Ovis aries: one gene and its partners. The protein of the gene in region 6 interacts with the protein of the main gene of each other region in a pairwise test. Links are inferred from orthologs where the notes say so. Each region holds a gene or a part of one and is shown on either strand. Other genes may lie near its edges.

What was found.
Region 1: the proteins of GIT1 (region 6) and C9H8orf33 interact in a two-hybrid assay, tested with the Homo sapiens proteins (2 studies listed by BioGRID and IntAct). The link is inferred for Ovis aries from reciprocal best matches to the Homo sapiens genes GIT1 and C8orf33.
Region 2: the proteins of GIT1 (region 6) and RGS2 interact in a two-hybrid assay, tested with the Homo sapiens proteins (2 studies listed by BioGRID and IntAct). The link is inferred for Ovis aries from reciprocal best matches to the Homo sapiens genes GIT1 and RGS2.
Region 3: the proteins of GIT1 (region 6) and PPFIA4 interact in a two-hybrid assay, tested with the Homo sapiens proteins (2 studies listed by BioGRID). The link is inferred for Ovis aries from reciprocal best matches to the Homo sapiens genes GIT1 and PPFIA4.
Region 4: the proteins of GIT1 (region 6) and HMOX2 interact in a two-hybrid assay, tested with the Homo sapiens proteins (2 studies listed by BioGRID and IntAct). The link is inferred for Ovis aries from reciprocal best matches to the Homo sapiens genes GIT1 and HMOX2.
Region 5: the proteins of GIT1 (region 6) and ARHGEF7 interact in binary tests that used the Homo sapiens proteins (3 or more experiments, as listed by UniProt). The link is inferred for Ovis aries from reciprocal best matches to the Homo sapiens genes GIT1 and ARHGEF7.
Region 7: the proteins of GIT1 (region 6) and PFDN1 interact in binary tests that used the Homo sapiens proteins (3 or more experiments, as listed by UniProt). The link is inferred for Ovis aries from reciprocal best matches to the Homo sapiens genes GIT1 and PFDN1.

What each region holds. Positions count from the first base shown.
Region 1 is NC_056062.1:13,261,482-13,266,080, forward strand, and holds the start of C9H8orf33 (UPF0488 protein C8orf33 homolog), read left to right. Parts: upstream 1-1,785; 5' UTR 1,786-1,812; coding exon 1,813-1,818; intron 1,819-1,897; coding exon 1,898-1,943; intron 1,944-2,040; coding exon 2,041-2,183; intron 2,184-2,373; coding exon 2,374-2,458; intron 2,459-2,601; coding exon 2,602-2,748; intron 2,749-3,230; coding exon 3,231-3,370; 3' UTR 3,371-4,599.
Region 2 is NC_056065.1:11,623,123-11,627,496, forward strand, and holds the start of RGS2 (regulator of G-protein signaling 2), read right to left. Parts: upstream 2,927-4,374; 5' UTR 2,898-2,926; coding exon 2,788-2,897; intron 1,771-2,787; coding exon 1,669-1,770; intron 1,568-1,668; coding exon 1,506-1,567; intron 940-1,505; coding exon 773-939; intron 492-772; coding exon 297-491; 3' UTR 1-296. UniProt on the Homo sapiens protein: Regulates G protein-coupled receptor signaling cascades. Inhibits signal transduction by increasing the GTPase activity of G protein alpha subunits, thereby driving them into their inactive GDP-bound form.
Region 3 is NC_056065.1:561,478-565,356, reverse strand, and holds part of PPFIA4 (liprin-alpha-4), read right to left. Parts: intron 2,613-3,879; coding exon 2,372-2,612; intron 1,923-2,371; coding exon 1,887-1,922; intron 1,668-1,886; coding exon 1,534-1,667; intron 1,234-1,533; coding exon 1,067-1,233; intron 1-1,066. UniProt on the Homo sapiens protein: May regulate the disassembly of focal adhesions. May localize receptor-like tyrosine phosphatases type 2A at specific sites on the plasma membrane, possibly regulating their interaction with the extracellular environment and their association with substrates.
Region 4 is NC_056077.1:4,217,958-4,220,886, reverse strand, and holds part of HMOX2 (heme oxygenase 2), read right to left. Parts: intron 2,097-2,929; 5' UTR 2,072-2,096; coding exon 1,986-2,071; intron 901-1,985; coding exon 783-900; intron 450-782; coding exon 1-449.
Region 5 is NC_056063.1:84,874,683-84,878,561, reverse strand, and holds part of ARHGEF7 (rho guanine nucleotide exchange factor 7), read right to left. Parts: intron 2,881-3,879; coding exon 2,802-2,880; intron 2,634-2,801; coding exon 2,494-2,633; intron 918-2,493; coding exon 693-917; intron 1-692. UniProt on the Homo sapiens protein: Acts as a RAC1 guanine nucleotide exchange factor (GEF) and can induce membrane ruffling. Functions in cell migration, attachment and cell spreading. Promotes targeting of RAC1 to focal adhesions. May function as a positive regulator of apoptosis.
Region 6 is NC_056064.1:20,780,594-20,785,210, forward strand, and holds the start of GIT1 (ARF GTPase-activating protein GIT1), read right to left. Parts: upstream 2,835-4,617; 5' UTR 2,635-2,834; coding exon 2,583-2,634; intron 2,560-2,582; exon of another isoform or gene 1,661-2,559; intron 1-1,660. UniProt on the Homo sapiens protein: GTPase-activating protein for ADP ribosylation factor family members, including ARF1.
Region 7 is NC_056058.1:49,170,099-49,174,618, forward strand, and holds the start of PFDN1 (prefoldin subunit 1), read right to left. Parts: upstream 3,000-4,520; 5' UTR 2,984-2,999; coding exon 2,951-2,983; intron 391-2,950; coding exon 224-390; intron 1-223. UniProt on the Homo sapiens protein: Binds specifically to cytosolic chaperonin (c-CPN) and transfers target proteins to it. Binds to nascent polypeptide chain and promotes folding in an environment in which there are many competing pathways for nonnative proteins.

The DNA of each region.
Region 1 (4,599 bases), on a different chromosome or scaffold from region 6:
TTAAAGTTCTCGGTGAAACTGGAAAATGTGTCTTTTATGTTTACTTAAAAACTAAAGAAACGGACTTCGCTGGTGGCTCAGTGGTAAAGAATCTGCCTACCAACCCAGGAGACATAGGTTCAATCCCTGATCCACGAAGATCCCACCTGTGCTGGGGCAACTAAGCCTGTGCACCGCAGCTACTGAGCCTGTGCTCTAGCCCAGGAGCTGGAACTCAAAGCCCGTGGTCTGCAACAAGAGGAGCCACCACAACGACGTGCACCACAACTGGAGAGGAGTCCCCGTTCACCACCATTGGAGACAAGCCCCTGCAGCAATGAAGACACAGCACAGCCAAAAACAAATAAATAAATGGTAAAATTAAAAAAAAAAAAAAAAACTGAAGGAACTATCGGGATGAGCAAACTCTGCTTTCTGATACCGCCCATCCTCTTGCCTCAGGCAGAGACCCAGATTTCTCTGACAGGAATGATGAACAGCACCGCGCACTCCCGCCCTCCTGATGCCTGTGAAAGAAAGTGAAAGTGAAGTCGCTCAGTCGTGTCTTGTGACCCCATGTGACTCTTGTGACCCCATGGACTGTAGCCCACCAGGCTCCTCTGTCCATGGGATCTTCCAGGCAAGAATACTGGAGTGGGTTGCCATTTCCTTCTCCAGGGGACCTTCCCGACCCAGGGATCGAACCCGGGTCTCCGTCATTGTAGGCAGACGCTTTTACCGCCTGACCCGCAGGGAAGTCCCTGACGCCTGTGCTGCGGGGCCAACAGCGGCTGTGCAGTAGGGTGGCCCTGGGCCGGGGGCCTGGAAGCGCAGGGAGATGGTGCCGACCACACAGCAGCGTCCGGGGAAGGCCGCGACACTGCGACACTCCTCCGAGGGATGAGGGGGTTCCCTTAACCCCCGAACCCCTCTCTCACCCTCTTCCACTTCTCTTGAAACAGAAGCCGCCTGCGTTTCGGTCCGGGGCCCCACGACCCGCCCACCTCGCCGTGTGGCTCGCCCCCGCCCTGCTTCCTGCTGCCAGAGCAGCCCCGCCAGGGCTGCAGCTCCTCGGAGGACTTTGCTGACCACTCCCCGCCCTGCTGGGGCCACTGTTACAGCGTCGCTCTCAGTGACAGCTATTCATGTCTGTTTACGGGCCTTCTTTATTTTACTGTTTATGTTTTTTGTGGCTGCGACGGGTGTTTGTTGCTGCACATGGGCTTTCTCTACCTGTGGCCAGCAAGGGCTATTCTCTAGTTGCAGCCACAGGCCTCTCGCTGCGGAGGCTTCTTCTGTTGCAGGGTTCAGGGTCTAGGCTCCGCGCCTTCAGCAGTTGCCTACTGTGGGCTCTGCTGCCCAGGCACGTGGGATCTTCCCAGACCAGGGATCCAACCCGTGTCCCCTGTGTTGGCAGGCAAGTTCTTAACTGCTGGGCCTCCAGGGAAGCCCCCTGTTTTCCCACTGTTCCCGCCCCACTAGCAGGTGGTTCCCTTGAGTAGCAGGTACGTTCCCTTGAGTAGCGTCCCTTCATCCAGAGCAGTGCCTGCAACCTCTCCAGTATCTTGCCTTAAGAATCCCAGGGACAGAGGAGCTGGCGAGCTACAGTCCATGGGGTCGCAAGAGTCGGACACGACTGAGCGACTAACCCGCCACCACCACCTGCAACCTAGTAGGTCCTGAGTGGGTCTCGTCCAGGCGGTACTCCAAGCGCCCGCGCCCCACCCACAGCGCGCACAGCCCCCGCCCCGCGGAACTCTGCGACGCAGACTTGTTTCCCTCGGAGCGTATTCGGCGTGGGACCCCAGCCCTCCTTGGTCCCAGCGGGAGCGCATGGCGGTAAGCGGTGTACAGGTGGGGAACGCCTTTGGGCGGTCGGCGGCTCCTCATGACCTTCGTCCTTTCCCCCTTTCCCCAGGCTCCAGGACATCCTGCTCGGGAGACAGCGGCAGCCCCAGGCCCAGGTACTGCCCGTGCACCCTGCAGCCCCTGGTTCCCCAGGCTGCTTCCTAAAGCCCCGAGTCCTTTCACTGTAAGGCCTCAGCCAGTCCGTCTGCTTAGGGCGCCCTACGTGCCGTGACTCTGCCTCGAGGACCAAGAAGCAAAAGAAGAAAATCCAGGATGGGTCGTCTGTTGCCAATGGAAGCGGGAAGACCCCAGAAAAACAGGCCTCCGAGGAAGCCCCCCTAAGCGCAGAGGCCCAGGCAAGGGCGGGCCTCAGTCGGGAAGGGTGAAGTCCCGGGCACGTACTGGGCGGGAGCCCGCCTGTGGGTGTAGTCCTGGATTTACAGCGGGAAGTGGGTGAGATGCGGCGTTTGGGGTTCCTATGGGATGAGGCTGGAGGCCCCAGCGCCCTGACGCCCGCTTACAGTCACTAACCACAATCCATCATAGGCTGAGCAGCTGGCTCGGGAACTGGCCTGGTGCGTGGAAAAGCTGGAGCTGGGACTGAAGATGCAGAGACCCACCCCTAAGCAGAGTGAGGGCCCATCTGTAGATGGGGGAGGGAAACGGTGACAGTCCTATGGCCTCAGGTGCTGCCAAGGGATGGAATTGTTGCCTTTGCGGTAGGACAGTTGGAAGTGAGGATAAAGGTTACTAGTCCTTTGTTTTCATTTGCAGAAGAACAAGCTCTTGGAGCAATCCGAACCTTGCGCAGCCAGAGAACCCCCCTGCCCCGGAAGAGGCAGCTGATGCGCTCTTTGTTTGGGGACTACAGGGCTCAGATAGAAGCCGAGTGGCGCGAGGCCCTGCAGGCTCTCAGGACTGGTGAGAAGCTGAGAACTGGTTGATGAAGAACTGCCTAGTTCAAGGGGGCAGAAGGAAAAGCCTGGGCAGTGAAAGGGGGAAGCCTCTAGCAGCGGGACTCCCACAGTAGGAGGGGAGTCAGGAAAGCCGCGGGGAGAAAGCCTGAGGCGCGGGTCACAGAACGCCGGCTTGGACTAGGGAGGCAAGGAGAGCAGCGTTAGTGAATCTCTGATTCTTAAGGGTGTGAGATGATAGTACTTACCTTATAATTTTGAGAAGCCAGTAAGTTAATTTTTACAATGAGTTTAGAGTTGTATGGGCAGTTAATGTTTGCTGCTGCTACTGCTGCTAAGTCACTTCAGTCGTGTCTGACTCTATGTGACCCCAGAGACGGCAGCCTACGAGGCTCCCTCATCCCTGCGATTCTCCAGGCAAGAACACTGGAGTGGGGTGCCACTGCTATTATTATTAAATTCTGATACTGTCCCTCTCTTCGCTTACAGCTGCCCACTCAGCCCAGGTGCAGCCTGTAGGTGAGGCTGCCAGAAAAAAGAGCCGAAGGGTCTGCAGACCTCGACCAGAAGGAAGGTCCAAGGGCACCTCGGATACTCGTGATGAAGAGTTTAGGTTTAATTTCTTTTAGCCTCTTCCCTAGAGTGGCCACCTCTGCAGTGGGGCAGGGTTTCTCTGGAGTGCAGCACTTTTCCAGGAATGCTGTGGGGGGCAGATGGGAGACCTGCATGTTGGGTGCTGACAAGCCCAGGACCCCATTTCTAGGTTTTCAGCTGAGATGTCCCTCCTGCCAGAATAGGGAGTTCCTTTAGATGGTTCTACAGTAGACTGAAGTGAGTGTTCACACTGTGTTGTAAAACAGCTGTCCCCAGCCTTTTTGACACCAGGGACAGATTTCATGAAAAACAGTTTTTCCCCAGAGAGGGTGGGAGATGAAACTCAGGTTGTAATGCAAGCAATGGGGAGTGGATATAAATACAGATGACTCTTTCCTTGTTCGCTGTCTTCATCTCCTGCTGTGTGGCCTGGTTCCTAACAGGCCATAGACCAGTACTGGCCCAGGGGTTAGGGACCCCTGTTATAAGACTCTCAACAGTCTCAGGAGCAGACTAAGTAGGTATTGTTAATAAGGGTTAGTGGGGAAGCTGTATAGTTGTACACTGGTGCTCACTTATGGAGGGATGTCCTCTCAAGTGGTATGGCGCTCCATACCATTGAGTCCCATTGCTGTAATAAAACTGTTTCTTATAAATGTGGATAAGCAAAAGCGTGTGCTAACTGTGCTGTTACGGGAAATGTAGACGAGGTGGTGTCAGGCGCTGCTGGGTCCAGGCTCTCACCCCAGGGCTTGGTCCTTTGTATCGCCTTCATTCCTGAGCAGGTGTCATCCTCAAGGAGCCAGTGTATCCCCCAGCAGCCCAGGCTTTGTTCTGAGGAGCAGGTAGCTTCTTGCCCTAAGAATCCTAGCCAAACACCAGCATTGAATCTCTGGGCAAGCTCTGATGTCAGCTGCTCCAGGTGATAGTCCCAGGACTTCTGCATTAAGTCGGGTTTTCACGGTGGCTTAATTATCTTGTGACTGTGATGCCATCTTTGGTAGTGTCTCCCAAACTTGCAGACTAGACAGAGACCCAGAGCCCATCTGCCTACTCAGCATCTCTGCTTTGGTGTCTCACAGATATTTCACACTTGACATGTTCACATCTGATTAGTCCCTAAATCTATCTGCTGCTTTCCAGTGAATTCCACTACTGCCCACCTAGTTGATTAGGCCCAAAATCTGTCATCTCTGCAAAAGGAGTTCCTGGATCCAGTTCCAAAGAGTGAGTGAGTGTGTCTGTGTGTGTGTGCGCACCTTGG
Region 2 (4,374 bases), on a different chromosome or scaffold from region 6:
GTTACATCGTTATCTTTCAGTCTCAAGCTCCTGCTTTTCCAGCATGAGACACACCACATTTAGACCACACTCTCTCTCTCTGTGCTCCATCAGTTACGGAAGCCGACCCAGTACCAGCTTCTCCTACGAGGCGACCAGCTTCCTGATTCACTACCCAGCTCTGAATCAATAGTTCTGAGTGATGTTTCCTGAACACCCAGGCTGAATTCAAGGTCAGTCTTTTTGGCAGGTGACAGCCTTTCCCCTTTTAGGAAAAAAAATGAAAAGTCCTCCGTTTCTGGGCTCCTGCTTTCATCTCATGTGGCATGGGGTTCTGTGGTGATCTGCGGCTTTTTACACAAGTCCTGGTAGAATTCTGACTCCAAGAAACGCGGGTAAGAGTTGTTTTCCATCAAGCTGTACACCCTTTTCTGGGCAGTTGTGAAGCAGCCACTGGTAGCTTCCTGTATGTTTTGGGCAATCAGAGTTTTGGTTTGAAAGTCTATGTTGATCTGAAAGAAAACAACAAAGTTTTATTCCACATTAAGAGTCAGAAGTTGAAATATATGTAGTATTTGAAAACAAACAAAAAAACCCCCAAACTATAATGTGTGGCCAGTGTCACCGGCTAAGTCAGTGAAGAAATATAATTAACCTCACTGAGAGCCAGAAATAGGGGAAAAACAGCCTACTCACCCACCCCCCTTTAACTTGAGGTCTCTTTAAATTATTTTCACTTTGGTGCTGAGGATGTTCAAAATATGCTGAAATAAGGAACTTTTTCCCCCTTTACCTCTTTTGGAGCTTCTTTTTCTATGAAGTCAGTATATATTTTCTTTGCTTTTGAGGACAGCTTTTGGGGTGACTTGGTTTTTTTGAAGTCTTCACAGGCCAGCCAGAATTCAATATTTTCTTCACAGTATTCAGATTTTAAAAAAGCCCTGAATGCAGCAAGACCATCTGGGGGAGGGAAGGAAGAAAGCATGCAGAAACTGCATTGAGTGTTCAAATATTCCCTTATGTGTTTTCCTAGAAATCCCACTCCCCTGGTCCCATATTTTATTATTGCCAGATGGCAGCAATTTTCTTGAGTTTACTCAAACCTGTAATTGTCAAAATTTAGCTCTTTAAAGACTAAGATGCCAGTCAGCAAAATGCGTGAGTTGGCACACTACTACAAAAATATAAACTTAGCTTTGCTGTTAACACAACTGATAGGGGAGCCATAAGTTCTTTGGGAATGAAGCCGCTTGAAAACATTGTTTGCAATGGAAAAGCTGACTCAACCTTAAGAGACAGCAACTGCCATTACAATCTGGGGCTATTTCCCCCCACTCCCCACCTAGAGTGAAAAAGCCACGCATTTCCCTGGTTAATCACCGGGAAATAAAGGAGAAAAATAGGCCCCATGGAACAGGGATTGTAAAGTCAAACTCTCCTTGGGCAAGCTGCTCTTGCTGTGTAGACACAACCAAACCATACTCTCCTGATACTTGAAATGGATCCAATTCAAGAGGTTAACTTACATTTACTGGCTAGCAGCTCATCAAATGCTTCTGACCATAGCTGGGCTTCCTCGGGAGAAGGCCTGCAAAAGAAGTCTGCACATCAGCTCCTGCTAGCCAGAGGTTCCCTCTTCAGCTCAGCAGTGAGCTGTGCATATTGGCAAGCACAAGATTTTCAACTTACTTGATGAAGGTTTGCTGTTTGCTTTTCTTGCCAGTTTTGGGCTTCCCAGGAGAGGAGGAATTTTGCAAGAAGTAGCTCAAACGGCTCTTCCAATCTTTTAATCTACAAAAGAAAAAAAAAAAAGATACTCACTTAGCAGCAACACTTGAAACTGCCATTGCAGCTGAAGGCATTTTTACCAAATAAAGTCGCCCCCAGTAGCTATAGACAAGCCAAATAAGACAAAACAACTCCTCCAGTCAGTCTTACTCCTTTAATCCAGCATCTAAGTACTCAACACACTAGTTTCATCCACTCATCTGAACATAATTATTAGTTTTATAAGTAAGGATAGGACGACCTACAATTATAGGGTATTTTAATGAATTTAGTTTGCATAGTTCAAAGGCAGATGCTATTTCTGGCCCACAAAAGGCAGCCAGTTTTTCTGCAACGGTTAATTACAATTCTGAGACATTTCACACTTGAGGAAGCCCACAGTGGACCTGCCCTGAGCCAGCCCAGGCTCGTTTTCCTTCTGCTCTCAGAGCAGGGGGCTTGGGACCACCCGAGAAGCTGTGCACAATGAAGTGTGTGTGCGAGATTGACCGCCCCCTCCCCCAACTTCAGCACTCATTTTAAGAAGGTGATGCAGAACAATTATTTGTTCCACACTCTTGAGTGGGTGAGACTTGCTGTTCAATTAAAAAAAATTAAAAGTATATCTAGGATCAGCAAAAATATCTCCATCCCAGCAGTCGTGTAAGCAGATCAGAATTTACGGTGCCTCTCAAGAAGGCCGGGGGCGCGTGGCTGCAGGATTCTCCGAAGTCATTTTCGATGCAGGGAGACAAAAAGCCAACCAGCATCTATCTCCGCCCCTGCATCAAGAATTTTCTGCAGTTTCTAAACTCTACCCGAGTCCTTCAATAAATACCTACACCACACAGGTTTAAACGTAACTTCACAAATTAACCTTTTACACACACACACACATTTTTTCTTTTTCTTTTTTTCCTGCAGAGATGCAGGCAGGCTACCCAGTTCCCATGCCCAGCGCGAGTGTACCGCGTTTGCAGCCGCCCGGGACAGCTGGGTCCGCAGGGGCGGCCAGTCAGGGAGGAAGAAAGCCGCACTCACAGGGTTCGCTTCATCTTCTCTCGCTTCTCCTCGTTCTTGGGGCCGGTGCCAGCGCCTTTGTCCATGGGTCCGCAGTCGTGCTGGACAGCCAGGAACATAGCACTTTGCATTATCTCCCTCCACCTGGGAACGCCGCTCTGGGGAGACCGGACCGCCGGCACCCGTATTTATATAATTGGAGGCAGGGCGAAGGCGGGGCTCACGGCGCCGGTCCCTCCCCCGGCGGGCACCGATTGGCCGACGGCGGCCGCGGGCCGCGCGGTCACGGGCGCCGCCGAAGGGTCTGGAAACCCGGGGCCCGCTGACGTCCGCTTCCCGGGCGTCGTGCGCAGTCGGGCCGGACGCCCGCCCTCGTGTGGGGTCAGAGAAAATTCCCTTTTGAACGGTCAAAGGCGACCTTTGCCCAGTCGTGGCGGCCGGCCGTGGGGTCGCAGGGCCGTGGCGGGCAGGGAGCCAGGTTGGCTGCAGGCACGGCGGGGGCGCTCGCTCCCCGCCTCTTCCCTGTCTCATTCCCTCCCCCGCGCTCCAGAGCTCCTGACCCCCAAAGGAGCCGTGATTCCAAGCAGGTAAAGGTTGTTTATTGGGAAGCCGAATGCAGTAACCTTATTTTGAATTAGGTTTAAAAGGGGATGTGTTTTTGGAGCGCAAGCCCTCGCTCCGCGCCTCCTTTCTTGATGTGAGAACTGACCCTCACCTGTTCTTTGAGACGCCTTTTAATTTGGGGAAGGAAACAGAATGGGAGGAACAGTGAGAGTCCAGGGGCAGTGGTGTGATCTGTTCTGCAGCGTGCCCAAGCATCCTGGAGCTCTGTGGGGAATGCACATTGGTCAGGGAGGGAAGAGGAGAAAGTGCTTTAACTGGGTGTGCGGTTTTGATTACCAGCAGGTTCGTGGCTGGGTCGGTCCGTGGGGTTGCAGACTTATTTCTCAGGAGTCCTTGGCTGCTTCTCCTTCCAGAACAAAAAAAGAAATCACAGCTCTTAACAAGGAAACACCACGAGCTCGCAGCTATCGTGCACCAGAATCATTTTAGTGTAAAAGAGCAAGCATGCAGGATTTCCTCCTGAGTCACTCTTAGTTGGCTTAGAATTTGCCAGAACACTTTAATTGGCAAAAAAAGAGAGATGGGGGTGGAGGGAGGGAGGCGTTTACAGCTTCTTTGAATAAGCTTAATGTCTTGATTCGTCAGAAATCATCTTGCTGTAGCAGGATTTAAGTGGTTTGATTGGTAAGGGTAAGTAGATAACTGCCACTCCAAAATGACTTGAGTTCAAATACCGTTATTAGAATTGTACAGTGGAATATTCAGGTGGTTTTTCCTGAAGCATCTAAGTAGGCAGATTAACAGCAAGGCTTTTGTTCTGTCCCTAAGTCATTTCTGACTGCAGTCGCATGGGCTGCAACTTGCCAGGCTTCCCTGTTCTTCATCTCCTGGTGTTTGCTCAAACTCATGTCCCTTGAGTCTGTGATGCCATCTAACCATCTCATTCTCTGCCACCCTCTTCTCCTGCCCTCAATCTTTCCCAGCATCAGAGTCTTTCCCAGTCAGTCTGCTCCTGGCATCAGCTGGCCAAAGTATTGGAGCTTC
Region 3 (3,879 bases), on a different chromosome or scaffold from region 6:
AGCCCTGGCCCCTCCCGTCTGTGGCTGGCTCCATAATGTACTTTACAAGGCCTTTATGAGCTAGCCCCAGCCCAGGATCTAAACCCACCTCTTCCGTTTCTCCCACACCCTTCCCTCCCCACTGTGAAAAGATTCAACTATGTACAAAACTCTCATACCCACCCTCCCCCTCTCACACACAAATGCTTCTTCTTGGCTAATTCCCACTTAGCCTTCAAGCTTCTGCCCAGGTGTTGCCCAGCAGAGAAAGTCACTCTCATCACTCCCACTGCTTCATAACTGACCTCTGAATTCCAGAAGCATATTGCTACCTTAATATTGTTTTGGAATCATCTTTTTCTGTTTCATTAGAAACTGAACTCCTTGAAGGAATGACTACTGCTCTATGAAGCCTTGCTTACTACAGTAGTTAATAAATGTCTGTTGAGCAAATAACTGGATAGATGAGGGCAACAAAAGGAGGAAGGGAGGGAAAGGAAGAAAGGAAAGAAGAAACAGGGGAAGGGACAGGAAGACAGCTAACATTTACGGTGCACCTAGCACATGCCAAGCACACACTGGAACTTTATATGATCATAGAGGTGTTAATAATGCTACCCTTGCCCAAGTACTTACTTGACTACAGTGTCTACCAAGTTATGACTAGGCATTAGGATATTTTGAGTCTTGGAGGCAAGATATACTAGGAATTAACAAGTGACTCTCCTAGGAGAAAAAAAAGCCCAAGAAATTTCTCCTGAAAGTCCTGAGCACAGTATACTAGAAAACCTCCAAACTGGAAGAAAGCTCAGAGGTCCAACCTCACACTTGATACAGGAAGCCCTTCTACAGTATACCAAATAAACAGCCATTCATCTGATGCCTGACACTTCTCATGGCAGGAACTACCACCTCATGAAGCAGCCCTTCCAGCTGTGAAACAGCTCTGACAGAAAACTGCTTCTCTGGAGCGGAATCTCGGTGTCTGTGGCTTCTGCCCGCTGGTCCCTGGCAGAGAAGGCTGGATCCAAGGACACCCTCCTGCTTCTCCCCTACTCACACCCATTTACTAGGGTTAGACAGAGACCATGGCCTGTGGGTCCATCCCGGCTTGGCTGGATCAGCCTGCCTTTCTCCTTCTTCCCAAACAGGCGGCCAATGGATGATTTGATGCCCTTGCGCTTGGCACCCTTGTGCAAGGAGTCCTGGCTGCTGTTGCTGCTGCTGGGGTTGCTGCCTGGATCCTCCAAAGCACTACAGGATGACAGCCAGGACGGGGTGGGGTGAAAAGAAACAGATGTAAATTACAGCATGAGAGACAGGAGCTAGGTTTCAGGAAGAACTCACAGTAAGTGTCAGAGTTGAAAGGGTAAGGGGGCATGATCAGAGCATGGGACCAAAAGAGACATGGAAATGTCCTTCTCTCATGGTGTTTCAAAGAGAAGTGAGATGTTCAGACACCTGGGATAGGTGAGATTCAGCCTGTTCAGAGGCAGAGAGGGATGAGGTAAACTCGGGGAGGGAGAGGCTTGAGATGGGGTCTGCTCCATTTACCTCTTGCCTTCTTCCTGGCTCAGGGCTGGGTGGCCAAGCTTTTCTAGCTGCAGTGTCCTGGGTGAGGAAGGAGGAGAAGTCTCACATTTTATGGTGGCTTTATCCTCTCGGTTCTCTTCCCAAGACACTGGTGACTGAACAGACAGTGGAGCCGTCAGGGGGTAGAGAGAGCGATCGGGGGCTTGCTGACCCAGCCCAGACAGGCGGAGGGGCGTAGAGAGCGGCGGAGGGGAGGCCCTGCCGGGACCTCTCAGAGCTCAGACTCAGACTCAAGGGCCCGTGGGGGAGAAGTTGAAAGGGAAAGGCGGGGGAAAATTAACCTGTTAGTACCTGGGTCATCAGGCAGCACTCACCAGCAGCTTCCTCCTATGCTTTCTTAAGTCACTGGGCTGGAAAAGAGAGTGACAGGTGAGCTTGGACTCACCTTTTGGATGCTTGAACATCTACCCTAAGGGGAACCCAGTGGTCTTAGGATGAGAAGATAGAACTCAGCGCCTTATATAGGCCTGAAGAGAATATCACAGCAAAACAAACCAACAAAACACTGGCTTGAAAAAAAATAAATCAGGGCTTCCTCTGAAAGAGAGAAAGACGTGTGGGCGCTGGGTGAATTTCTTAAGCATTACCCAAGGGGAGAGGGCAAGAAAGTAACCACGTAGCTCTTTCCAAACCCAGAAGGCTGTGCTGGTAACCTGGCATGTCAAGGTCTATACACATCATAAGAAGAAAATGCTGTGCCCCAACTGACAGTGAGCCCTGCAGTCAACCCCCCTCGGTCAACCCTGAAGCAGAGTCTAGTGATGACAAGGTTGTTCATCAACTGCTCCGAGTCTCTCACCAAGGTCATGACCCCCATCCGGTCCAGGTCCTGGGCAGCACTTCGGGAGGTAAGCTTAGGTGTGGCACGGCCGCTGAGTGGAGGGGATGCACTGGCCAGGGACAGGGCGGTCAGAGAGGTGGGGATGGAACCTCGTTTGTGCAGTTGGGTCAGGTCTAGGGCCTCCATGCTGCCACTAGTCACTCGAGTTTCCAGCTCCTCAGCACGGAGCTCTGTGGACTCCTTCTCTTCCTGGATCATCCTGGGAGGCAGGCAAAATCGGGCCTCACTGTTAGCCAGAGAGGACTAGCAGGTGGCATGTGTGGGCACTGCCTGAGTCACCATCCAGTGACCCAGGGTACAAGGCGATGCTCAGGTGTATCCCAGTGTTTGGGGGCATTGCAGGGACATACAAGACCTTGTGAGCATAGCTGGTTCTATCCCACTACAGCTTAGCAATTTTCTGTCTTGTTAACTGGCCTAACGTAACAAAACTCCCTAGTTTAACAAAAGCAGTTTGCAAGGAAAGGAGGCAAGTCCGTTAGTGGAATATGAAACTATAAAACTATAGTTTTATAAACTATATAAAACTATAAAAATATATCCAATGTCAGGAAGGTCTAAGTCAGTAGTTCTCAAACACAGAACCTTTAATTGATGCTGATCCCTGATGGAATGTTCCCTGTTCCACAGAAAAATTAGAATAATAGTGATAATGTTATGTGTATGGGGGAGGCACTCAGAAATGTGTGTATGCACACTCATACACACACACACATATATAATGATGCCAACTGTCCTTTAGAAGCAGGACCTATCTTAATTCTCAGAGCATATCTTTCCAACTTTAGGGATGTTAAAATATCCTTTCTTTGATAGAATGGTTATGATAGGAAATGGTAATTATCTTTACTATTTCATTTTGTAGAATGAAAGTCGGCAGTACTATGTTAGTACCCTTCTGTGTGCATGTGTGTGTGTGTGTGTGCGCGTGTGTGTATGTGTGTGTGTGTGTGTGTCTATGCAGTATTTTCTTTTTAGCTTGTCTGTGAAATCCAAAAGTGTGGGAACCACTGAACCAGATGACCCCTACAGCTCTGTAAAGCATGGATGTTCTCTGCTTTGGACTTTCCTTTGCCATTTGCCACAAACATTAATAAACTCTCTATAAAAATGGAGTAAAGTGCAGATCTTGATAACATTCCCTGCCAGTGGTTTCTGTCTGATGCTTCATTAGGGATGGATGGCATGACACAGTGCACGGAGTTTAGAAAATTTTGACTCCTGGCTCTGCCACTTAGCGCACTGCTTTGGGCAAATCATTTAATCTACCTGATTTGTTTCCTTGTCTATAAAATGGAAGTAATGCTGTCTCCTCCAGTGACTGTGATAAGACTGACAAAAGATCTCACCCTGAGTCGGCCTCAGTATGTGGGCACTACACAAAAGTGGTTGTGTTTAGCTGTAGGAGGTCAGGAACACAGCCTCCAAAGACCTGGGAGGAAAAATGAAGCCTGAGAAGTCAAGCT
Region 4 (2,929 bases), on a different chromosome or scaffold from region 6:
TTCTCTTTGGTCTCTAGGTTCAGGTCGAGGGCGTTCATCCTGGCCCGGTACAACTGCTTGAACTGCTGTGCGTTGTCCACATTCTCAAACAGGTAGAACTGGGTCCCTTCCCCCGTACTGGGGAGTTTCAGGGCCCGCTGGGCCACCTTCTTCAGCACCTGGCCCCCCGAGAGGTCCCCCATGTAGCGGGTGTAGGCGTGGGCCACCAGCAGCTCTGGTTCGTTCTGCCCCACCTCGTGGATCCGCTCCACGTACTTCCGGGTGGCCTCGGAGCACTGCGCCTGCTCCTCCCAGTGCTCGCCATAGAGATACTCCATGTCCCTGATCAGCGCCTTCTTCCGGTGTAGCTCCATGGGGAAGTACAAGGGGGCAAAGGCTGGGTGGTCCTTGTTCCGGTCGATCTCCTCCTCCAAGGCCGAGTACGTGAAGTACAGCGCGGTGGTGGCCAGCTGCCAGGGGTGATGGGGAGACCATGGGAGAGGGCCAGGGCCTGGGCCAGCAACTCCCAAGCCCACTGCCCACACTCCTGAGCACCCCCTCCACTCCCCACTTTCATACAGTGAGATGTTTCACGTGCGCAGGAAGCGTTTGTTTCTTAAAGGAATGACACGAATTCTCTGGAACACGGACCACTCCCTTTACATTACTACCTTATTCCTTTTAAGACATGAAACCACAGCCTGATGCTGAGAAAACATGGCACGTGGAGGAAGGCTGGGGGGGTAGGCACTGTGGGACTAAGGGCCCCCAACCCGACCCAGTTCACAACTGAGGGCACAAACCTTAAATAGCTCCTTCCTGATGTTGCCTTTCAAGAAGTCCTTGACAAACTGGGTGTTTTCCGCCCGGTCATGTGATTCCTTGGTCCCTTCCTTCAGGAGCTCGGAAAGGTCTGCCATGCTACGGAGAGACCATGTGTGAGTTAGCCTTCCGACTCCAGGCTGACCACTCACCAAGCTCGAGGCAGAGGCTGCTCAGAAACGTGATTCCAGCCTCTCAGCAGGGAGCAAAGCACAGACAGATGTGGGTCTGCTCCCAGGACTCGGGCGACACTCTGGATGACTCTGACACACTCCTCCATCGTGCCTGGGTCTCTCTGAAGCACCCAAATGAGTGATGCTTGGCTTCTGTGCCCACCTGAAGAAACACACACCGCTAACCCTACCAGTGTATGACTTCAGGGAACAGATGACTCTGGGGAACGTGTCTCCCAGGATCCACACCCCTGAGAAGAACTGACCATGCAGCTCCTAGGGTGGCCCAGCTGCCTTCCTCCCACCTTGGACCCACAGCCCCTGAAGAGGACATGAGCCTGGGACCCGGCACAGGAGGAGGGAGTGAGAGCAAGGCTGGGGAGGCACGAGCCAGGACCAAGGCCTGTGCTGCTGAACAAAATTACGTGACAGATGCCAGCGCCAGACAAGGCAGAGCAGGTGCTGGGCAGGGGCTCCTGCGCCATCCACAGTCGTTGACCAGAGCGAGGAAAGCTTGGCCTCTCACGGCCAGTCTCTGCTGGCCTCTTTAGGAGACTGGCTCGTACCACTCACGTGCTGCCAACAGTTTATTTTCAGCAATTATTCCAAGATGTAAAAAGAGAACTTTGCCAATGACAGGGCTATAAGGAGAGGCTGACAATGATGAAGAGCAGGCCTGGGTGGCTGGAGGCTTCAGGTGAATTGCCCCCAACCCAATAAGGAAAGCCCTGGAGTTAAGAGCTGCTCCCACATCTGAGGGATGGGAGACACTGGAAAGGTGCCAGCTTTGCCTCTGATTACCCTTTCTCAACCCAGATGACAAAACGCTCAGAATTCCAGGAAGAAGAAACGGCCAGGAGCACCATCAAATCCCACCACTAGGCGCTCGGAGCAGTGCCTGTCCTGCCTCCCTACGTGGGGCGGGGGCGAGGGTGAGGAGGAGGCGGCGGGCGCGGAGCACCCCGGGGCCTGGCAGCGCGACCTGACTGCACCACGGCCGCCACCGCTCACCTGGTGTGGTTCTCCTCCTCTGGGGCCCCGGAGATCCTTCTCTCTGGCTCATCCAACCCCTCTGAGGCCTCCAGCTCCGCTGACATGGCGGCTGCTCTCACGCCTCTGGTCCTGCAGAGACACGGGAGCAGGGGATGTGGCGCCCGGGGCAGGCACTCCCCAGGCGCCCGCCGGCTCTGCTCGCCCCGAGCACCACCACCAGGAGGCGCCACAGGCCTCAGGGAAGTCCTCATAAAAATGAAGCTCTGCTGTCACGCGGACCGTATCTGCTTTGGACAGAATGTGAATATGGACAGTGGTAACAGCACTGTACTGATGCTGAACTTACTGATTTTTATAACTGCACCGTGGTTATTTATGAGAATGTCCTTGTTTTAGGAAACACACACTAGCGTAGTCACAAGCAATGGGGCATATTACCTGCAACTTATTGTCAAATGGCTCAGAGACAGAGTGTGTGTGTGTGTGTCTGTGTGTACAGGCACATACACTGCCGTGGGGGGACACACGAGTGAAGCACTTGAGTCAGTGCTGACAGTAAACCTGGATGAAACATACACAAGGATTCTATGTACCATTCTTACGACTTTTCTGTATTTTTGAGATTATATAAAAATTAAAAGTTTCCTAAAACATAAAATAACAAAGGAATATGACTTAAATAAAGCAGCTGTGCAGCAGCTCTCAGTGTGGCAGTGAGCGCATTGGAACCAGCCAGCCTGCCTGTTAGAGGCGGGTGCCCTTGCGCAGACAGCATCCCCTCGGAGCAGCTCCTAAGGCCCTTGACGAGCTGCGCTGAGTCACCACGTGAGCAGACTGCCTCCAGCCCACTCCAGACTCTGCCGAGCAGGAGGAAGTGACTCTCGTAGGCCAGTCGATGCCCACTGCCTCTGCGTTCATCAGCCCGGGAGATCTGGTCCTGGAAGACTCGAAGTTCACCCTCC
Region 5 (3,879 bases), on a different chromosome or scaffold from region 6:
CCTACTCCCCCCTCCCCTGTAAGAACCCGCAGCAGGGCGTGGCTGCACTCCACCACACTGAGCTAAGCAGCGAGGATGCCAAAATGGGCCACCAGGAAGAAACATGTCCTAAGAACCGAAGTTCACTAACAAAACCCATACAGGATTAACTGTAATTTATGTTGTACTCCCCCATGTACCATAAAATTCCTCCAGCAAGGATGGAGGCAGGGTCTGCCCAGGTCCTTCGTCAAATGTGGCCTCTCTGAGATGCAAACTGGTGCAAAAGCGCCTCACCAGGCTCACGAACAGGCCCCGCCCACCAGGCTCATTGTCCCGCCCACCAAGCTCATTGTCCCACCCACCATGCTCACAGCCTCACCCACATCCCACCCAGCCCACCGCCCGAGCCACACCCCCCACACTCATAGCCACAACCACACCAGAGCAACTGAACTCGGCTCACACTCAAGCACGCTCGTGTGATCACCACAGTCGTCAACCGGCTTCCTCAAAGCGCAAACAGTGCCCCGAGCCTGTCCCTCTCCCTGTTATGGGCACAGAGGGGGTCTCCCCAGGACTCTGGGGCTCTGGAGCACAGGAAGGGTAACAAGGGAGAGAAGGCAGAGCCTTCCATTCTGAAGAGGCTCATCGGCTCCATGTCACAGACACAAACACAGGGCTGTCACATTTCCACACTCACTAGGGCTCACCTCCTTGTAGCAGAGGGCAGCCGAGGGCCGCAGAGGGGGTGCTGGTCGCAGGCAGCTCAGGCTCCAGGGCTTAGGGGTCTTCGGAGGCTCCAGGGGCCCCCAGTTGATGGTGGTGTGTGGAGTGCCATGGTGGGAGGGGTGGGGCAGCGTGTGGTAGGCGGGCGTCAGCGGCGCGGGCTTGCTGTCCGCGTGCTTGCTGGACGGGGTGATGGAGTGGGAGGGGAGCTGCCAGGGACAGAGGGAGAGAGCAGAGCGCGTTCACCGCCAGAGGACCCGAGGCCAGCCCAGCCCTCCCAGCACAGCAGCGCCCACTTGCTAGCGTGCATCCTGAATGTCCCGACGCTCAGGTTACTGGCCGTCAGGCCGAGCATCCCCCACACCCTGCGTGAGGCCTGCTGAGCTCAGGGCGGGAAGCAGCAGGTTGCTGGGTCCAGACCCGGAAACCCACTGACCGCCTTTAACTGCGAAGCAGTCACGTTTGCAAAAAAGGCATTTCATTTAACACAGATATCAGGATTTTATAAAAGAATGGGCATTCTCTGCCCTGGGAATGTGACTGGGGGAGCATAATTATTACCTCGCCAGCAAAAGTAGAGCCTGATCCCTGTTTTTGTTAAAAAAAAATTTTTTTTCCTGGGACACAATCAGGCCTATTCGTGTCAATGGTTGCTTTTATATTATAAAAGCAAAATACAATTGCAACAGAGACCATAGTGCTTAAAAACCAAAAAAAAATATTTACTGTGTTTTTGAAGAAAAATTTTACCAATCCCTTGGGTAAAACATTTTCTCAGAAAAATCAGCTTTAATCAAGACCAGGTTACATAAATTTAATTTCTCAGAAGGACCTTATTAATGGGGTTTATGCTCCTAGAAACTCCAAAAGTATTCGATCACAATGACAAATTAGAACTTTAAACAATTCAAAAGTAGCCAGTGACCTCGAATTAACCCAAAACAATACAGTATGCTTAACAGGAAAAAAAGTTGAGTTGTTCTGTGAGCTGGAAACCAGAGTAAGGTCATTATTCAGAAGAAATGAATAATATTTGAAACACAGGCTTAAAGGGGAGCCTGGGCTCAAGCTGAGGCTTAGGGCTCGAGGACAGAAGCAGCGGACTCTGCCATGACCACACAGCTGCCCTGGGACCAGAAAGGCCAGGGTCCTGGCACATGGCTCCCTGAGGTGGGAGTCTGTAGAGGTTGGTTTAAGGCTGTTACCACCTGAGTGAGAAGGGACTCCCTGTGGATGACACACATGTACACACCGATGCCCTTGGGATAAATTTAGTCCCATGAAAGCTAAGTATCTCTAGAATACATTTACAATATGGAAAAGCTGTCATGGCAAAACCATTCAAAATGATAGTTGAAGCAAATGAATAGCTTTTCCCCCAAACTGCTGAGAAATGGAGTAAGAGGCTGCAGCAGTGACCAGTACACCATGCCATGACCACCGTCCCTGGGACGGCCCTTCAAGCCCAAGGGCAGCGACCCCAGGGTGAACCATGTGGGAGAAGTCCCAGGAGAGACCCTCACAAGCCCTGAGGTAGTGTTCGCGGCCCACCCTGGGCAGGGCAGCTGCCTAAGCGGGTGCCGACGGGCGCCTAACCGGTGAACTATGTGCGTGTGTGTGTGTGTGAACTCTCGAGAGGCAGACAGGCAGGCCTGGCTCACAAGTGGGTCCCCGTGAGGCGATCGCGGCCCACGGGGGATGAGGACGCGTCTGCAGAGAGGCCCGAGGCCCAGCGGCGCTCTCCTGGCCCGGGGTCTGCGGGCGGGGGCGGGGCGGGGCCCTTACGGTGTGCGAGGGCACCGAGTGAGGCTTGCTGCTGGGGTTTCCTGCCGAGGCGGCCTTCGTCTGCTTCTGCAGGCGGTCCACCCACTCGTGGAGGTCCTGCTGGTTGTTGCAGGACACCAAGATCCGCTCGATCATGCTGCCTGGAGGAGACAGGCACGGGCTGGAGGGCGTCAGAGCGCACACATGTGCACCCCAAGGAGGCCCCACAGCACGCCCATGCAGCCCTCGGGGGCTCAGCGGGGCCCGCACACGAGGGCCATGGCCTCGGCACCCGGACAGAGGGCACCCACAGAGCCCGCGCCTATCACCTGATATTTCAAACGCGTTCCTGTGATTTTCACTGTCCTCAAGCTTTGTGACTGTCATTCCTGTCGTTGGTAGCTTTCCCTAAAAAAGACCCCCCAACAAAAACAGTCAGTGCTTTTCTAGTAAAGGAGGTACCATTATTAAAGTAAATATTAAACAATTTTAGACAATGCAGAGGAACTGTCTTTGTAAAGCAAACTCTCTTGCTTGTACCAAAGGCATATATAATACAAAAGCCTCTACCTTGAGTAAGAAATTGTAATACTATAACCAAGAAATGAGCCAGCAAAAAGGTACAGGGCTGCAAACCAGAACAAAAACATTTCATCTGATGAGTTACTCTAAATATAAACAGCAAGACACAAAAACATCATACGTGTGATAAAAAAAAAACAACAACGAGGGTCCACGGTGGCTATTTTAAATGATGCTGTTTATAGAAAGGAAGCAGAGATGTGCCTTAGAGAAACACGGGGCGAGTTCCGCATCCAAAGGCAAATACAGGCGACTGGAGCCGGAGGGACTGTGCGAGACTGCGCCTGGCCATCCGCCACCAGACTGTCCGTCAGCAGCTGCGCCAAGCACTGCCCACAACACAGAGAAGAGCACCAGCCCGCCTGCTCTGGGACAGAGGGCGTGAGGCAGGGAGCGGAACCAGAACTGGGCCGTGGAGCGAGCCCCTCGAATAATAGCCACCAGAGCTGTGGAGGCCGAGCGAGTCTGCAGGGAGCGTCTCTCGGGTCAGGGCCAGGGCCCCGAGGAGCAGGGCCCTGAGCAGCAGGGCGGCTCTGAGGCCACAAGGCTCGGACTCCTGACACCCGGGCAGAGGCCAGGCGCCGAGAGCACCACACGGGCCCGGCCACCTCCGCAGCCCCACAGGCCTCATCCGGTCCACGGGCAGTGGGGCCCGCGCGCAGGAGCCTGTCCTGCAGCCGGGCATGGGCACTGCAGACGCCCTGCCGAGGGGCCCACGGCACTGGGCTGACCAAGAGCTCGGAGAAGCCTGACGGGAAACACAGCTGCGTGTCCCCGACTAACCTGCAGCAACAGCTGCGGAGGCCGGGACGAGCTCGCGGTGGC
Region 6 (4,617 bases):
CTCTTTGGCGTCAGGCTCATCTCACCTTTTACCTCAAGACCCCGCAAATTCACCACTCACAAAGAGACAACAACCCCGCTCCCAGGGCTGGGTCTGCAGGGCTCCGAATACAGTGAGAGGCCTACGACTTCAGGTAGGAACCACACACCAATGAGGGGGCTTTGGGCCTGGGCTCCAAACTGCTAGTTTCTCTCCAGCCTCTTACCTGGGCTGTTACAGGTCCCAGACTGAAAAATGCCCCAAGGAGAAGTCAGGGTCTTGAGAAGCCTCCAATCCCTTGGGGGAATGCCTGCTCTGTGCTAGAAACCATGCTGGGTGCTGGGGTGAGCAAGACTTTATCGGCACCCTGCACGCCTCACATCCTCACCTCAGCACCTGCCTCCTCCTGACCTGCTTTCTGGATCGGGGCCCGGGGGTGGGGTGGGGGTGGGGAGGTTCCCAGGAGCACACAGGACTCTGTGGGATGAGGACCAGGGATAGGAGCCAGGCACCCCAACACATGAGAGACACACCACTCCTGCCCATGCCCAACGGGCATCCAGAGGCTTCCAATCAAGTAGTCAAAGGCAATGGAGAAAGGACAACTGCCTTGTTAACGCTGCCCTGCGTCCCCCTGCCCAGAATCAGGACCGCAGACTGGAGATGGGATGGTCCTCAAAAACCATTCCTACTCCAACTTCTTGGCCTCAGAGTTGAGGAAACTGAGACTCAGCATGAGAAAACTCTTGCCATGAGTCAGAGAGTAAGCTAGAAACAAAGGCAACACAAAAATCCAGGTTTCCATGATAAAGTGTCTGTTAAGCAACCCCCTCCCAGCCACACCTTCCCAACCCACCAATGCTCCTTCCCTCCTTCCGCGGGGCAGAGGGGCAGCCCGGCAGAGGGGCAGAACAGCCTTGGACCAACACACAGAAGGCAAGCTCTCCTCTTAGCGCTTAATCCCCCAGACCTGCCTGCAGTTGGGGGTAAGGAAATAGTAGTTTCTAACTAACCAGAGGTAAGGACACCCCACATCCCTGGACACACAGCTTCCTCAGGGACCTCTAAGAGACCATGACATGCCCTGAGAGGAGGCCTCAGGGTCACAGCCACCCAGACCACCATGCACCTCCTGGGATCCCACAGTGCCCAAACACTCAAGCTTGGAGCCACTGAAACCACCAGCGCATCTGTGGGTCTCAACCTATTGGGGTCCTCTCTCAGTTGTGTTCGACTCTTCTGCAACCCCATGGACTGTAGCCCGCCAGGCTCCTCTCTCCATGAGACTTCCTAGACAAGAATACTGGAGGGGGTTGCCGTTTCCTTCTCCAGGCGATCTTTCCGACCCTGGGATTGAACCTAGGTCTCTTGCATTGGCAGGTGGATACTTTACCACTGAGCCACCAGGGAAGCCCTGGGCCTGTCCAAAGGGTAGCAGGAAGTGATGGGCCACAAAACAGCAGCCCACACTCTCCACTTAATTGTGCCCAGAGTCCTCCTGGAGTTCATGGATCCCCCTTGAGCCTGCCCGGAGGTCTCCCAGGGAGATAGCTCCTTTTCTAAAGAGAGGATGGTCAAGGGCCAGGGCTTCCCCTTTCCCCAAGGCAGCTGCAGAGTCCGATCACTGGTAGTGTCCCCCCACATCAGAAGGGAGCAGCCTTTCCGGGTCATTTCTCCTCACCTCTTTGGCAGGTCAGGGGGGTTTCACATCAGCCTGGACCTGACTTGGTGGGAAGAAGGGAAACAGCACGGAAAATACAGCCGGGAGGCAGGCCACAAAGCCAGGTGGGTCCCGGGAATGTAGGCACCCCTCCACATGCTCCCTACCCATTTCTGGTAAGGCTGGGCTAGGGGACAGGGAGAGAGGTCTGTGCCCAGGCTGGGGTATGGCCAAGCCACCTTCCAAGCAGGCCTTACTGGAGCACAGGAAAAGCTGAGGCTCGTTGTCCCGTTACCAGGCCTGGGGACGCCTCAGGGGACGATGCCCAAGCTTGTGGTGGCTCTGAACACCAGGCCTTGCGAGGAGCCTTGGGAGCCAGGGGCAGGGAGTCCTAGGAGCAGCCACCCCGCCGTCTGCTCCCGAGAAAACAGAATCCAGACAACCCCCACCCCACGCCGGCCCATCTGCCCGGCTTTCTGCCCCTTGCCCTCCGCCACCCCTGCGGGCGCGCAGACCAGGAGAGCAGCAGGTGCAAGACGCGGGGGTGGCCCTGCGATGACACAAAACCACACTCGCCCCCACCTCCGAAGCCCGGCCGGCCTCCGCCACAGTCCTCCTGGCCACCCTAGGCTGGCGCTTCCGTTTGGACCCAGAGATGGAAGGCGGGGGGGGCGGCGGGGGGGGGGCGCCAGCTGAGGGGCGGGAGGCGGCGCCGGGAATGTCCTTCCTCGCTGGTCCACGGACGCGAGCAAACCGCGGCCCCCTGAGCGGCCCTCCCTCCAAGGACGCGGCTCCGCAGCGGCCCGGGCGGGGGCCGAGACCGGAGGCCGCAGCCCCCAGCCCCGCCCCGCCCTCCGGCCCCGCACGGCGCGCCCGCCAGGCCCCGGCGCCCGCCCGGCGGCGCCTCGGTGCGCGGTCCCGCCCCCGGCCCGGCCCCGCTTACCCGGGGCGCTGCAGTCCGCACACACCTCCGCTCGCGGCCCCTTCCGGGACATCCTCAGCGGCGACGCGGCCGCAGCCCTCTGGGCCAGCGTGGGGGGCGCGGGCGGCGGGCCCGGGCGGCGGCGGCCCCTGCTGCCCGGCCCGGCTCCGGCAAGGCCCCGGCTAGGCTCCGCGCGCCCGGCCAACCGTCCGCCCCCGGGGCTGGCCCGGAACCCGCCGTGCCCGCCCGCCCGCTCGCCCTCGGGCGCCCTCCGCCCCGCGCCGCCCCGCGCCGCCCCGCCGCCGCTCGCTCTCTCCGCCCCCTGCGCGGCTCCGGGCCGCTCCTGCAGGAAGCGGCGCAGGCCCGGCCCACCGGGGGAGGGGCGGCCCGCACACCCGCCCCGCCGCCGGGCCCAGCCCGCCGCTCCTCCCGGAGAAAGGAAGCCGGGAGCGCGGGCGGAAGGGGGCGGGGGCCCTTAAAGGGGCCGCCACCGCCAGGCCCGAGCGCGCAGCGCCGCCTGCGGCCCGGGCCTAGGTGCGCCCCTGCCGCCAAGACGCTGCGAGTTCGCCTCACAGCCTCGTCCCCTTCATTTTCGAGGCTGAGGGTGGCCTGAGGAGCTCGGGCCCAGGGACAGTGACCCTTGGGCATCTGAGAAGAGTGAGGAGCTGGAGGCCCCGGGCCCCCCTTATCCAGGGGCTGTGGTTCGAGGTACCCGCTTGTCTGTTTGGGTTGAATTGTGCGTTCCGGTCCTCCCGTGTATCCACATTTGTGTGTCCAGGTGTGTGTGTGTGGTCACACTCTTGCTGACTAGCCCACCGCCAACAATATGGACGGCCAGGTACCAGAGGTCATGCAGTGAATCCCCCAGTCTCTGGGCTAAAAAGATATCTATCCGTCCTCCATGCTTTCATCCAGAGAGAAAAGAATGGACAGGTTTTTTTTTTTTTTTTTGAAGACCTCCTGAGGAGTGAACACTGTGCCTGTGTGCAGAAATATCCACTTGGTATCAGTGTTGTGTACATCAACGGTATTTCTGAGCCACCAGAAGTGTGTGTCTAGGGCGTGGACATATAACATATAGGGATCCTTTCTGTGGTGGTCTTTCTTCCTGGACTTCACGGAGAGACTCATTGGAGGGGTGGGGGTGACAGGGAGAGGAGGCGCAGGCCTCACATGGGTGCACCCCTGCACTGAGCATGCTCCCCCATACACGTGTGCCCCACGTGCACCCAACCCCCATCCCTGCAGCAGCAAAAGGCCAGCGCTCTGTTTGTTGGGAGAGGGCGAGGGTGTCCAGGCACAAGGGCCAGGGTAGTGGTGACACGATTAAGGCAGGTTCCCCAGGTTAGGGGAGGGTTCCCCATGGCCAGGAGTCCTGCTCAAAAGCAAGGGGGCTGGAGGGGAGTCCTTGGGCAGGGGTGTTGGAGTTGGCTCATTTTATCCCGGCGGTGCCAGAGCAGCAGTGACTTGTGGGTGGCAGGCTGCTTCCCTGGGGGAGACGAGTAATGCTCATGAGTCACTCCACCCGAAATATATGCAAAGCTGCCTCCATCGCCTTTCCCTGCAGCCCAGATTGACAAGTTTGTTTGAGATTGCGATCCACAGGGTGTATTTATAATCGCACCTTTAAAAAAAATCTTGCAGGCATCCCCTCCCCCCATAGCCAGCCGCTCATCTGGCAGGGTTTCTGCGAGCACAGATACCTCGCGGGGTGGGGTGGGGTTGTGGGGAGCACCACCTGCCGCCCCGTGCCGCACCCTCACCGAGGAGTCAGTCCGTGGGGTTGGTGGCCCCATCCCTGGTGATGGGAGGAGTGGCCTGGCCGCTCTTACTGGGCGCCCAGCCCACGAGCTGTGGCCGCCCGTTCACCCCTGATCGACCCCCAGCTATGGAATTTCATTTATTAAATGTCGAGGCGGCTGCTGGCAGCCCCATTGCTTGGCTGTCTTTGTTTCTCTGCTGTGTGGGCGCGTCTCGAGCACGTGGCAGCTGGAGCGCGCAGGCTGGGGAAAAGCGACCTGGGTTTAGAGTCCAGGGCCACTTAGCGAAAAGAGAA
Region 7 (4,520 bases), on a different chromosome or scaffold from region 6:
AGAAGAACTTGGAATAAATATTTTTAAAATGTACTTCAAAGTTTAAGATTAAACACATTTACCTAGAACTCAGTTTCTCATTTAAAAGAAAAAAGATATTTGACCTAGTGTTCTTTAAAGCTACTATGATACTTTAACCCAAGTTGTAAAGTGAACAAATTCTATGACTTAATTCAGGTAAACTTCTTTCAGGATAACCCCCTTAAGGATATACTTTACTTACATTCTTCCTACACCTTCATACATGTTAGTCTCATCTACCAAAGTCATAATCTCTGTATCTGTAAGATGTGCATGCTTTTTCGTTCTGTTCAGCTGTTCAATCTGTACATCTGCAAGCTTCACCTTCTGTTGAGTGTCAATAACTTTGGCTTGAAGCTCTGTGAAGGCCTAAAAAGAAATAAGTCCTTGATTTAGTAGGTGCAACATTTTACAGTAAATGTCTATATCAAATCTATTAAAATGAAGCCTGTTAAACAGACAAAGCCGTGAAATTTACCACAGCAAACATCTCAAAGCCAGTCTGCTAAAAACTTGAGCCCTGAACAATTCAGTGATTAGAAGCACTGACCCTCTGTGCAGTTGAAAATCCAAGTATAATTTATAGTTGACTCTCCATATAGCAGTTCCTTTGTATCCCTGGTTCTACATTTGTTGATTCAACCAACTACATATCATGTAGTACTCTAGTATTTACTATTTTAAAAATCTGTGTACAACTGGATCCCTGACGTTTAAACCAATGCTGTTCAAGAGTCAACTGTACTGAACTTACCCAGTCCTCAGAAGATGCAACCTATCTGAAGAAGCTGAACAAAGGCACGGTAAATAACAACCATATCAAGTAGCAGGTACCCAAGGATTAATAAAAGCTCTAAAGGCAACAATCACAAACCCAGAGACCCAAATCAGGAACCATTAATGTAACAACTCACCACATCTGTACTACTCAAGATTATTTAAAGCACTTTCCCACACTTGTTTGAAATATTAACATGTGAATATTAATATGAGAATACTGACATATAATAAATGTCTCATTTTCTCTTTTCAATAATCCTGAGTTAAGGATGGCAGATTCATCAGCACAGTTTACAAATTAACTAAATGTTTTAAAGAGATATAAATGACTTTCACAGGGCTGAGCAACTACTAGGTCAAAAACCAAGTACTTAATTAACTTCTGACCGCTAGTTACTGAATCTTTCTACTCTACTATCCACAGTAATATTCAGAAAATGAATATTTTAAGAGAAAGACACACAAAAAAATTCAAAGCATTGATAAAAGAATTGCATCATGATCTTCATATGCACACGATAAGCCAAACTTGACCTCTGAGTACTGTTAAAAGGTTTTTGATACTTCTGAAGTGCCTAGAATGATTTTCACATGCTGTCAAATTCTGACTTAATAATAACATCTGTGGCTGCAATACATGGCAAAAAGCTACTAACTTTTATTCTGACTTTGTTCTCACCTACTAGTAAGGTTTCAAAAGGTTTATCTAGAGGGGAGAGGAGGTACCTAAAGTTTCCTATTAGTCTCCATCCCTTCCCCTCCCCCCAAAATTATAAACATTAAAAGACCTTTAAACAAGTTTCTTCTGTAATTTTATTGGTTGACAAAACTACCCAATTTAAGTCTGTAATTATCTTCTTAGTTTGCATTCACTGTCCACAGGTTTCCCAGCAACAGACTGAAATAATACTGAGGGGTAAGTCCATTCATAGCTGTATTCTATTGTTAGCTCTCACTAAACCCTAACTTAAATTTGAACTTTTAACGGAAAAAAAAGGTAAACTTTTAAAACACTTTAAGACACAGTTTGGTAAGGAAGCTAGTATTTTGTTAAAGCTGAGATAATACAGCACTAGACAGCACCATAAGGAGTAAAGGTACAAGTTCCAAACAAAAGGCAATACACACACACAAATCCTCAGAGCAATAATACACTGCTTCATCTATTACGTGGAAGAGCTACTTCAACTGTCTTATTTCTCATGCAAAGATAGATTACAAGACAGTCTTAAACAAAATTTGCTCTTCTAACCTCAAGTAGTGGTCAAAAGGTGGAAAGTGAGGCAGAGAATGCAATATTCTAGAACCAAGCTTGGGCTGACTCTTCTGTTAAACTGTTTCCTTTTCTAGAAAAGTATCAGTTTAAAGTAGATGAAGTCTAGGCTCCTTTCCAATCCCCATTCTCCTTCTCTTCGCAAAAAAAAAAAAAAAAAAAAGGATACGCTTTTGAGTCGGTAGTGGTGTTAGAATCCTGACAACTCTCAGGTGGTGAAAACATTTCTGTGTAACAACACATTTCTAGGCAATTGTTTGAAGAGAGAAACTCAATTCCTTCTGATACCAATTTGATCTGGAAACCTTTGACTTGTTTCTTCTTTGACAAATCTTTAAAAACGAGGGTGGGGAGGGGGCGGTTGTTGGCAAAGCCCTAAGATGAACATTGCTACGAGGATACCTGACTGAACTGTATGAAGCGACCTTACAAGATATGGGATTAAAGAACTGACCTAAAAACAGACTGGACTTGGAGTTTTTCAAAGCAAATTAGTATACAGAATTACAGATGCTACAGCTCGGGCAAGCAGGCTAAGAGGCTCCAACTGGAAGCGCTCATTTCAGGCCTCACTATGGAACTGAAGGCACCAAGAGCAACGAAAGGTCTCTGGAGCTCGGAACAAGGGAACAAAACAGCTATAGGCCCGCCAAACTTAACCAGGCCCAGCCCAACCGGCTCTTACCCGGCAAAGAGCCGCTCGCCCTCGACTCCCGCCTAAGGAGGCCCGGTCCCGCCTTTGCACTCTGAGAAACCACTCCCCATTTCCCTGGGGCCTCTTTCCTTCCGCAGCACTCGAGACTCACTCGACATTATTGTCCACAGTCGCCTTAGCTTCCAAAGAAAAGCTTCTGCCTGCTCAAGACCCTCTTTTACCTTCTTCAACTCCAGATCCACGGGGGCCGCCATCTTGCTTCACTACTGCGCCTGCGCAGTGGGAGAAGCCCGGAAAGAGCGTGGGGGAAGGGCGCGCCCTGAAGATTTGATAGGGCCTCTTCCTTCTGCGCCTGCGCATGAGTGGGGCTGCTTGGTTTTCCTACCTTCCCCGTCGTTATTAACGCCTGAAATAACCGGGATTCCGATTCAGAGTACGTCTTCCCCACGTGACCTATGGGCCTGCCGTGATTCTCCACATCCTTCCAAACACGGCACAATCTGCAGATTTCGTGTGTGTGTTTTTTTAATATAAATTTATTTATTTTAATTGGAGACTAATTACAATATTGTATTGGTTTTGCCATACATCAACATGAATCCGCCACGGGTGTACACGTGTTCCCCATCCTGAACCCCCCTCCCGCCTCCGTCCCCTCGTGTGTGGTTTTAACCACTTCGACAAATAGTTTAGTTTGTGTCGCTAAATTAAGATGTATGTAGATCAAGCTAAAACCTTTAAAGTCATTCATGCCTTCAGCGAGTCCTGTGCTGTCAGGGAGGGATGAGAAAGAATCAGCCTGAGTTTCAGACATGGCAGCATGGAGAAGACCAGAAGGCTTCAGTTCAGTTCAGTCGCTCAGCCGTGTCCAGAAGGCTTAGTTGAAGCGTTTTCCCAAAGAACTTATTTATACTGAATGTTCTCAGAAGACCTTGTAGACACAGGAGTTCTCACGAGAAACCAAATTTCTTTTTAAAAGAAAAAAAAAATGCAGATTCTCTGATCCTCATCCCAAACTTACTTAGAATCTTTGATATGGGGCACAGAAATACATACTTTTGCAAACTCCTTTTATGATCTGATCTAAGTGGACTGCAAACCACATTTTGAAAATCTGCTGTAAAATAGCTGGCATTTGAACCAGAAGGATGACTAGAAGGATGGACATGAAAGAAATGGATATCTTCCTTACTCTAAAAACCTGTGAGGCAGGGGAAAGGGCAGGGAGTTTGGAACTAAACAAATCTGTATTCAAGGTTTGGTCTACACTGAGCGTAGGTATGTCTGCTTCCATTTACTAGTTGTGTATCAACAGAGTCTGTCTCCTCATTTAATATGAGAATAACAGTACTGACCTAACAGAGTTATTCTGAGGAGTAAACAAGATCAGGATGGAAAGCTCCAAGCATAGCACAATGCACACAGTAGGCACACAATAAAAAGGTATAATTAAGTTCATGTAGTTAGCATTGTTATATTTGTCTTTCAAGATACAGCAAGCAGCAGACACATAATATGTATCCATTATGTATTTTTTTTATTTTTTACATCACACAGACCATAAATAATCTCTCCTTGGAATTTCAAGACTACTTCTGTTCCTTTTTCAAGACACATGACACTATCTGTCTTAAAAATTTTTTTTTATTAGACTTATTAGCTGTTCAAATGTCCATCATTCGACAAATGGATAAACAAAATGTGAGGACATTATGCTAAGTGAAATAAACCAGTCACAAAAAGACAAATACTGTATGATTCCATTGTACAAGGAACTTGGTGGTGGTGGTG